Linked DNA regions of Schizosaccharomyces pombe. The gene in region 2 interacts genetically with the main gene of each other region. Each region holds a gene or a part of one and is shown on either strand. Other genes may lie near its edges.

What was found.
Region 1: mutations in sbg1 (region 2) and rga7 are lethal when combined (synthetic lethality), as found in Schizosaccharomyces pombe (one study listed by BioGRID).

Annotation. Positions count from the first base shown.
Region 1 is NC_003423.3:2,109,961-2,115,043, forward strand, and holds rga7 (Rho-type GTPase-activating protein Rga7), read right to left. Parts: upstream 3,116-5,083; 5' UTR 2,935-3,115; coding exon 847-2,934; 3' UTR 525-846; downstream 1-524. Other genes in the region: cms1 (U3-containing 90S preribosome complex subunit), read right to left, coding at 55-397; mat1-Mi (M-specific transcription factor Mi), read right to left, coding at 4,259-4,387; mat1-Mc (M-specific transcription factor Mc), read left to right, coding at 4,522-5,067.
Region 2 is NC_003423.3:1,434,269-1,437,992, reverse strand, and holds sbg1 (actinomyosin ring linker protein Sbg1), read right to left. Parts: upstream 1,757-3,724; 5' UTR 1,716-1,756; coding exon 1,170-1,715; 3' UTR 518-1,169; downstream 1-517. Other genes in the region: RNA-binding protein Mrd1, read left to right, coding at 2,080-3,724.

The DNA.
Region 1 (5,083 bases), 680 kb from region 2:
TATAGTGAGTTAGTAAAGTGAAGTAAAAAAAAAAAGAATAATAAGCAATTATACCTTTAATCACTTTATCTGACAATTCTACATCGGTAAGATCACTATAAATGCTTTTTATGTAATTATTTAACAAATCGGACAGCGTGTCTGGACTCTGGATGATTGAAGCGTTTGTGTCTTGTAGTTCTAACAATTTAGCTCTTTTCCTTTCCTTTTGTTTTTGGCGTTGTTTTTTTCTTTTTTCACGTTTCGCTGAATCGTTGTTTTGAGAAGCAGTAAAATTTTCAGTTATTGTAGTAGGTTGTGCAGATTCTTCATCCGAAACTGAAATTTCTGAAACTAAATCTACCTGATAATCAAGTTGATCATCCAAAGCATCAGCGTCTGTTGTCGTGTAGCTCATAATTGCATGTTTTAAAATTTTGGTGTTAGGGATACGTTCAGTTCGTGGACCGTCGAATAGTACAGGAAAAATGTAAAAAAAAATATAAATCTATCGTTTACAAAAATATAGAGTATTTGAAGGTCTATATAGAAGAAAAAAAAATAAAAGGAATTCATTTGGTTTATAAAATCGTAGATAATTTCCATTATTACGTTATGAAGGTTGTCTAAACTATGGATTAAAATTGTGAACGGAATTGACAGTAAAGAAAAGAATGAATTTGTAGACAAACAAAAGTTTAGGATAAAAACAAGGTAAGGAAAGGGATAAAAAGGGGAAAGAGGTGGAAGCATACAAAATCCAAGAAAGAGAGAATAGTGTCAAGTGTGCTTTATTGACGCAAAGGAAAAAAATATAAAAAGAGAAAAAAAAGATGGTAAGCAGTAAATAATACAGAAAATGATCTTTTAATCGTAGTCAAAAATTGTGAAACAATAGTCGATAAGAATTTCGATAGTTCTAGAGAAACTGCTAATTTCTGGGATAGTAGCTTGCTTAATGATAGTAGGTCCCCAAATAATGGCCAAATTGTTTGTCGACATTTTGTTTACATCGCTGTTTTCTTTAATTTTAGCAAGATGTATGGTTAAATGACGAATGGTAGAGTAGTTGGCATCGGGAAGATCGTTGATCGCACGATGGACGGCATCTCTTCTTCTGGATTCGTCTTCAACGTTACCTGCGTCGATAAAGTCTCTTTGATGATTGTCGGGAATTAACGGTTCACGTAGTTCACGGAAAAAGATTTTTAGTAGATCAGCGACTGCATGAACGTCGTTTTCATAGTCCTCAGGTGTATGTAATTGTAAGAGAGGATTATTCTCAAATTGAGAACGTAACATGTTGACACGGGCGGAAGAGCTGGGAACACGGTAGATGCCCTGGAGGTTGAGACCAAAATTTTCGACTTGGGAAGTGCATTGCATTACGATGTTTGGAATGTTGGAATGTTCTCGTAGAATGATTGCGTCTAATCGAGCACCAAAGAGTAACGATTTCGTAGGAGAGGAAGGTTGAGGGGAGACAGAAGTTGGTCGGAAGGGAGATGCAGCACGGTTTGAGTTGATGCTAGAAGGCGGTGGTGCGACTTCTCGAGACGTTTGAATCGTTGTCGTCTGGATGGGAGGTAAAGTAGGAAGTAGTACGGGAGGTGATTGTTGGGCAACAGGGGGCTTGTTTTCTGCATTAGAAGCGAGTGGAGAAGAGGTACGAGGATTGGAAGAAGAGGATGAAGAAGAACCGTTTGTGTCATTGGCGGTACTAGGTTTTAGGGTAGAAGCCAAAGGAGAGGCTGAAGCGGGAGCAGTAGAGGGATTGGAAGTAGATGAGTTTGGGAAGGCAGGGGAAGCCACAGAAGGGTTGGGAAAAGTGGATGGAGCAGGATTAGTGTTTTGTAGGGGAGAGGGAATAGCAGCAGTAACCTTGATGGTGGGGTTGACGGGTGGATTGGTTTTTCCGGCAGAGGAACCAGTTCCGTAAGAGCTTGGAGGTTGAATGATTTTTGTTTTAGAAGCGTCGGTTGGATTTTTGTTATCTTCATGCTTGATGGAGGCGTGAAGGACGTATTGAACAAAATCGGTATTTGCATTTATATTATCCAAAGCATGTTGTAAACCACAGTTGGTAGGAGTGGGCTTTTGTGGACGGATTGTGAGACCGTTGAGCAGGGTGTTTGACTCGCAGAGCTTTGTGTACCGTAGATAGTTTGCAATGAGTGAGCTTTCAATTTCGCGTTGAAGGGAAAAGAATTGCTTTATGTAGTTTGGTCGGTGAATACACAAAAGTTGTTTTTGAACGTTTTGAGCGTTTTCAATCTTACTGTGCATATCTGATTCTGCATTTTCGGCCTTAAGGCGAGCTTCATCTTCGAGTTTGGTGAGCTGAGCATTAGATTTTGGTTTAAAAAAACCAACCTTCTTCTGGGAGTCTCCAGTGTTTTTGTTGTCGAGAGCGCGGTTGTACTCGGTTTCGGCACCCTTAAAGCGAGATTTGGATTTATCCATTTGCATAACGGCTTCTAAATATGCGTTTTCTTGTTTTTTCGCATATTCCTTGATGGATTTTCGTTTGCGTTCTGCGTTTTTGTGAAATTCGATGACTTGATCGGAAAATGCAGAAAGAGTTTTTTGAAGGGTTAAACTGTGATTGGCAAGTTGTTCATGAATTTCCATACTCGTAATGACAGAGGCGGAAAAAGATTGGGGAGAGTGGTGTTTGGATTGAAACGTCTCTAGGTAGGATTTAGCAAGTTTTTGTAAATTTTTTCCACTTTCTTCTTCGAGAATGGAACGCTTTTTAAAGAATCCGGCGAGTTCTTTGCAAGTGAGGAGGTAGTCTTTAATGCGATCATTTAGGATTGCTAGACCAAGTTCCGAATTGAGGATCGCTTCGACTTTTGGTTCTTTGAGAACTGCGAAATCATCAGAGGAAGTGGTATTTGGAGGCGATGTTGGTGGGGAAGCGGGAGTGGTAGAGGAGGAGGGAGCCGACAGCATTGAAGGAGTTGAGTGATGGGCGGGAGCAAGAGAAGTAAATAGAGTGAGAGAATAGAAAGAGTAAAAATAACAAAAGAAGCGCGGTAAACGCGAAAATATATAAAATCACTTGAGCAAGCAAAGAATGATAGAGGAAAGAAGGGTGAATTCTTTGTTTGTAAGGAATTGGTAGTGGGTGGTTGGTTTGAGTAGTATAGCGAGTATAGAGGATGTAAACGAGGAAAGGGTAAGGAGAGGACGGTAGAGGAAGAGATAAAGAGGATTAAGGAGGTATGAGTAGTTCAAATTACGGAGATGTAACGAAGCTAAAAGTTTGGAATTGGGAGGTTGAGTGTGGGGGATGAAAATGAGTTTAAGATAGGAAGGTAAAGGAAAAGAATAAAATACAAATTGCGTTGTATAACGTTTCTGCCATACCCTTTTTAAGTGGGATGAAGTATAGTGAGGGAGGGTTGAAAAGGAAGGAAGAGTTGACTGTGGTATTCGAGGTAAGTGTCATACCCTTTCCAAGTGGGAGGTAGAGATACGTGGGGGTAAAGACTGAGGTGAGTAGGAAGGCGGTAAGGGGAAGAAGGGTATAAGGAGAAAGAGTTGATTGTGTTATTTAAGGAAAAGTGTCATACCCTTTCTAAGTGGGGGATAGCAAAATAAGGAGACAGAAAGTTGGTTGCGTTATTCGAGTAAAATGCCATACCCTTTCCAAATGGGGGAGAGGATTAGGTGAATGAAAAGAACAAATAAGTAGGATTATTCTATTGCAAGTTGTTTGTAATACTTTTTTTGTCATGAACGAATATGTAAAAACAATAATAAATCCTTAGAGCCTACTGTTAATATAATAACATTATGTTTATTCTATGACTACAGGTTTGTCAACATGTTTTATTGCGACTGTTTAATTTTTGTATTTGTTATACCGATATATTTTTAATCAGTATTATATTTTCTTAAATAACTTAATAACGAACTTGACAATGAAACGTTCCTAATTCTCATTAGACGGGAATTCTTTAGGGGACCCCACATTAAGTGGGATGAGTGCTTGCTTTGTTGTAGTAGCTATGGTAACTATTTCTTTGTTTGGGTAGGAACAAAGAAAGAGAAAGGAGAGAAAATAGTGGGTTAGCCGTGAAAGGAAAAGAGAGTGAGAAGAAGGGTAGGAAAAGAAGAGAGAGTAGTTGAAGGAAAAATATTGGAAGAGGTAGTATTTTTCTGTATGCATATGCATATGCATTTGTATAGCATACAACCTTTAATTTAATAGCCATACAACCTAATAGCCAGAAACGCCTTCCCAATTTACTGAACCCTGCTTATATGTAGTTTATAATTGTTGTGTCTTTTTTTTACGTTTAAGTTGTAATTTGATGTTAGAATTTATTACAATGGATGCAAGTTTTAACTCAATTTGATCACATAGGATTTGAATTGTAAAAAGGTCTTCTGCTGACATTATTAGTATGTATTGTGCTTTAGATTAAATTATTGTGTTTTAGTGTATTTTGTTCCTTTGTTTTTGGGTTTCTTTGTTCTGTAAGTAGTTAAATACCCTCCACACTCTACACCTACCTTGCACTCACAACTACAATGGACTCACACCAAGAATTATCAGCGGGTTCCCCTATTTCCTACGACTTTTTAGATCCAGACTGGTGTTTTAAAAGATACCTTACAAAGGATGCTCTTCATTCAATTGAAACTGGCAAAGGTGCTGCTTACTTTGTTCCTGATGGCTTTACTCCTATACTCATTCCTAACTCACAAAGCTACCTGTTGGATGGGAATTCTGCACAACTGCCAAGACCTCAACCAATATCCTTCACATTGGATCAATGTAAAGTTCCCGGCTATATTTTGAAGAGTTTACGGAAAGACACTACGTCTACTGAACGTACTCCGAGACCCCCTAATGCTTTTATATTATACAGGAAGGAAAAACATGCTACATTATTAAAGTCTAACCCTTCCATCAATAATTCACAAGTTTCCAAGCTGGTTGGAGAGATGTGGAGAAACGAATCAAAGGAAGTACGTATGCGATATTTTAAGATGTCTGAGTTTTATAAAGCACAACATCAGAAAATGTACCCTGGTTATAAGTACCAGCCTAGAAAGAATAAAGTTAAAAGATAATAATGGTAATATTTAT
Region 2 (3,724 bases):
GGTGAAGAATTGAATGTAAATACGTGTAAACATTTTAGCAAATGTTTTACGCATTCGAATAATACTTAGTGGATTATTGTCCGTTTGATATTACCAAATAGAGAATCCCAATGAGAATATTTAAAAAAATAACGCACTCAACCACGATGAAGGCAGCAGCATGGAAAATGCTGAAAAAAGAAATGTAAATGTCAATTATACGGCTGAATAGTCAGACGTTTTAACAAGCCGGGTGTAAAAATTTTTTTGATCTATTCAAGCGCTGCTTTATTTTTATAAAATATGTACTGGCATTGTTGAAAGCTGACTTTTAGTTCATCATGAACAAAATAATATATTTCGGCTTTCCGAATCGTTAAAATGCAAGAAGTAATTAATGTTACAAAAAATTAAAGATGCCATTTACTTCAACCACTCCTCGTCTATTGTTTTCATACACAAATGAAACGGAAACCGTGTAACCTTGCTACATACTTTTAATACAATTAACACTTTACGGACTACGTGGAAAGTGTAAGACAAAAGCAGAATAGCATAAGTCCTTTATTCATGATATAAGTGCTGAGAACGGAGCTTACTCATCCAAGCATATAGACACACAATGCTCTTTTTTTTTTAAAGAATGCTTGAATGGGCACACGTAGCCGATGTACTGAAGGCATATTTACTAACTGATTCATTACCTATAATTTGAGTTAGTCTAACCATGATAGGTCATTAGTTAAATGACTCGTATTTGCGAAATAGAAACCAAATATTATTTATGATGCAGTAAACGATGAATAAATCCAATAAATGAAAGATTTAGAGATTGAACTTTAACGAAATAAGAAGGGCTTGAGGAAGATGCGAGGAACTGGAAAAGAATGATGTGTAAGAAAAATAATAGACATTATCAAAGAAATAGGCAAAAGGTCAAGCACAACTAGTTGAAGGCAGTCGGTTAGACGAAATATTAGAATCTGTAATACTAATGCAAAAAGAGCATACGGAAGAGAAAGTAGTGAATAAAAGAAAGTCCAAGAATTCGTGGTACTACCACAAGGATATAAGAAGCTCAAAAAAATGGAAATGCAATAGAAAGAAGAAATCATCAAAGGAATGAGAAAATAGATACGAGAAAAATCCTTCAACAAGTTCTTATTGAAAGTAAATGAAATCAAAAATACTCAGTTTTTCTTCCTTTGCTTTTCTACTTCAACAGCTGATAAAATAGGATACCCGATGAAAAGCATTAACAATCCACAACTCAGAAGAATTAAAGTCAAAATATTTACAAATCCACGCAAAGTAAAAATATTCAAATCGCGGCCATCATAGAAATCTTCATTGTGCAAAATATCATCGACTTCCTTAACACTAGGATCCCATAAAAGTGTAGCAGACTGCATAGTCACCGGAGACTCCACGGTTCCCAAGGAACTAGCACTGCCAAATGCTGATTCTGATGGCCCAGTCAGTTGTGCTGAGGCAATTTCATCTGTATAAGGAGAATACTTTTTCTCTGAAAAATCCTTGACATGAAAGTCAGAAACAGAATCCATCGGCTGTATATCATGGCCTACGGGCTCTAGGTCTTCTGATTCCCAAATGTCATCGTCGTAAGGCTCCTCATCACCGGCTGAAACTTCGTTAGCCAACTCGTAATTCAATTCATTATCGAGCATATCATCTGGCCTTAAACTTTCATTATAGTCTATAGGTGACTGAGACATTTTTTTCTAATTAGTACTCTGCCTCAGTTGTTTGGTTGTTTACAAAGGAATTTACTCAGCCGAAATAAAATACCAATCACCTTAGAATACGTTGTTAACATTACATAAGAGTGTTCGACAATACGTTAATGAATATTAGTCAGTTGCAGCAAAAAAGTAGCGCATCTACGCTATACATAATTTCGAGCTACTATGACTCGATATCTCAAATTAGCAAAAGCTTTAATAATCTTAGGAATGTATACTGAAGTTCGTTGTATGTCGTTCGTAAGCACTAAGGTTCGAATTTTTCTGTATGGTTTTCTCTACTCTTTTGCATACTCCAAAACTGTAGAGATTTAGCAATTGTCTTTGAACGCGCGCCATGTCGCGTATAATTATAAAAAATATTCCCCGCTACTATGACAAGGAGAAGCTATCAACATATTTAAAATCTTTACCTCAGTTGGATGCTGAAATCACAGACGTTAGCGTAGCCAAAACAAAAGAAGGCGTTAGTAGACGATTTGCTTTCATTGGATTCAAAAATGAAGAGGATGCTGATAAAGCGATTCGTTATTTGAACAAATCTTACGTTGAGACTTCTCGTATCGAAGTTCATCGAGCTTTGGATTATCGATCGGCTAACGAAAAGCTTCGACCTTACAGTAAATACGCTTCTAAAAATATTGAATTGAAACTACAAAAAAAAGAAAAGGAGGAAGAATTAAGAAATTTGGAAGAAGAGAAAGCTAAAAAGAAGAAAGATGCCAACCTGAAGAGAAAGTTTTTAGACACACTTGATCCCAAGGCTCGAGAGTTTTTAAAACTCTCTTCCTCGATTTCTAACTCAAGGAGTTGGGAAAATGAAGAAGTTTTTGATACTGAAATTACGAATCCTGTTATTCCAGCTGATGAAGATGATGATGAATATCAGGATCTTCCTGCTGCAAAACGACACGAAGGTGACTCAATTAAATCTACTGAACATGACAGCACACTTGACTCCGGTGTAGTAATAGACGGAAGGGAAAAATCTTCTTCGGAGCTTCATGAAGAAGAGTCAGAGCAAGCTGCTGAAGGTGATACCGCCAAAAATTCAGGTACTGATGCTCAAGCACCGTTGTCTGATGACGAATGGCTCAGGCTCCACAGAACAAGAATCAAAGAAAAACAACCTGAAGAGGAAGTTAGTGTTGTTGGTGATGAGTTAAAGTCCTTTGACAAAGAAAATAATGACGAGCATCTTGAAAGGGTTACGAATGATAAAATTGCGGATGCATCCATGCTGCAAAAGGCTGAAAATAATGTTTCCGAGCAAGAAAGAAATATTCAGCTGATTTCTGAGACAAAAAGATTATTCCTTAGAAATTTAACCTATAGTTGCGCGGAGGACGATTTAAAATCACTTTTTGGTCCTTTCGGTCAATTGGAACAAGTTCATATGCCTATTGATAAAAAGACCAATAACCCCAAAGGATTCGCTTACATTGATTTCCATGATGCAGACGACGCGGTGCGTGCGTATTTAGAATTAGACGCAAAACCCTTTCAAGGTCGGCTTTTACACGTTTTACCTGCAAAAGCGCGTTCTAGTATCCTTCTAGACGATTACGCATTAAGCAAGCTTCCTTTGAAAAAGCAAAGAGAACTCAAACGTAAGAATACTGCTGCTTCTAGTACCTTTAGCTGGAACTCATTGTATATGAATGCTGATGCAGTCGTGACATCGCTAGCATCGCGCCTTGGCGTTAAAAAGACTGATATCCTCGATCCCACCTCATCTGATTCTGCTGTGAAGCAAGCTCTTACTGAGACTCATGTTATTCAAGAGACAAAAAATTTCTTTGAGGAGCATGGTGTTGATTTGGATGCGTTTAAGAACGCAGCACGATCGGACAACGTTTTACTAGTCAAAAATTTTCCATACGGTACCTCGGCTGAGGAGCTTACTTCACTTTTTTCGCCATTCGGTGAGCTTGGTAGAATTTTAATCCCCCCTGCTGGGACGATTGCTATTATTGAGTTCT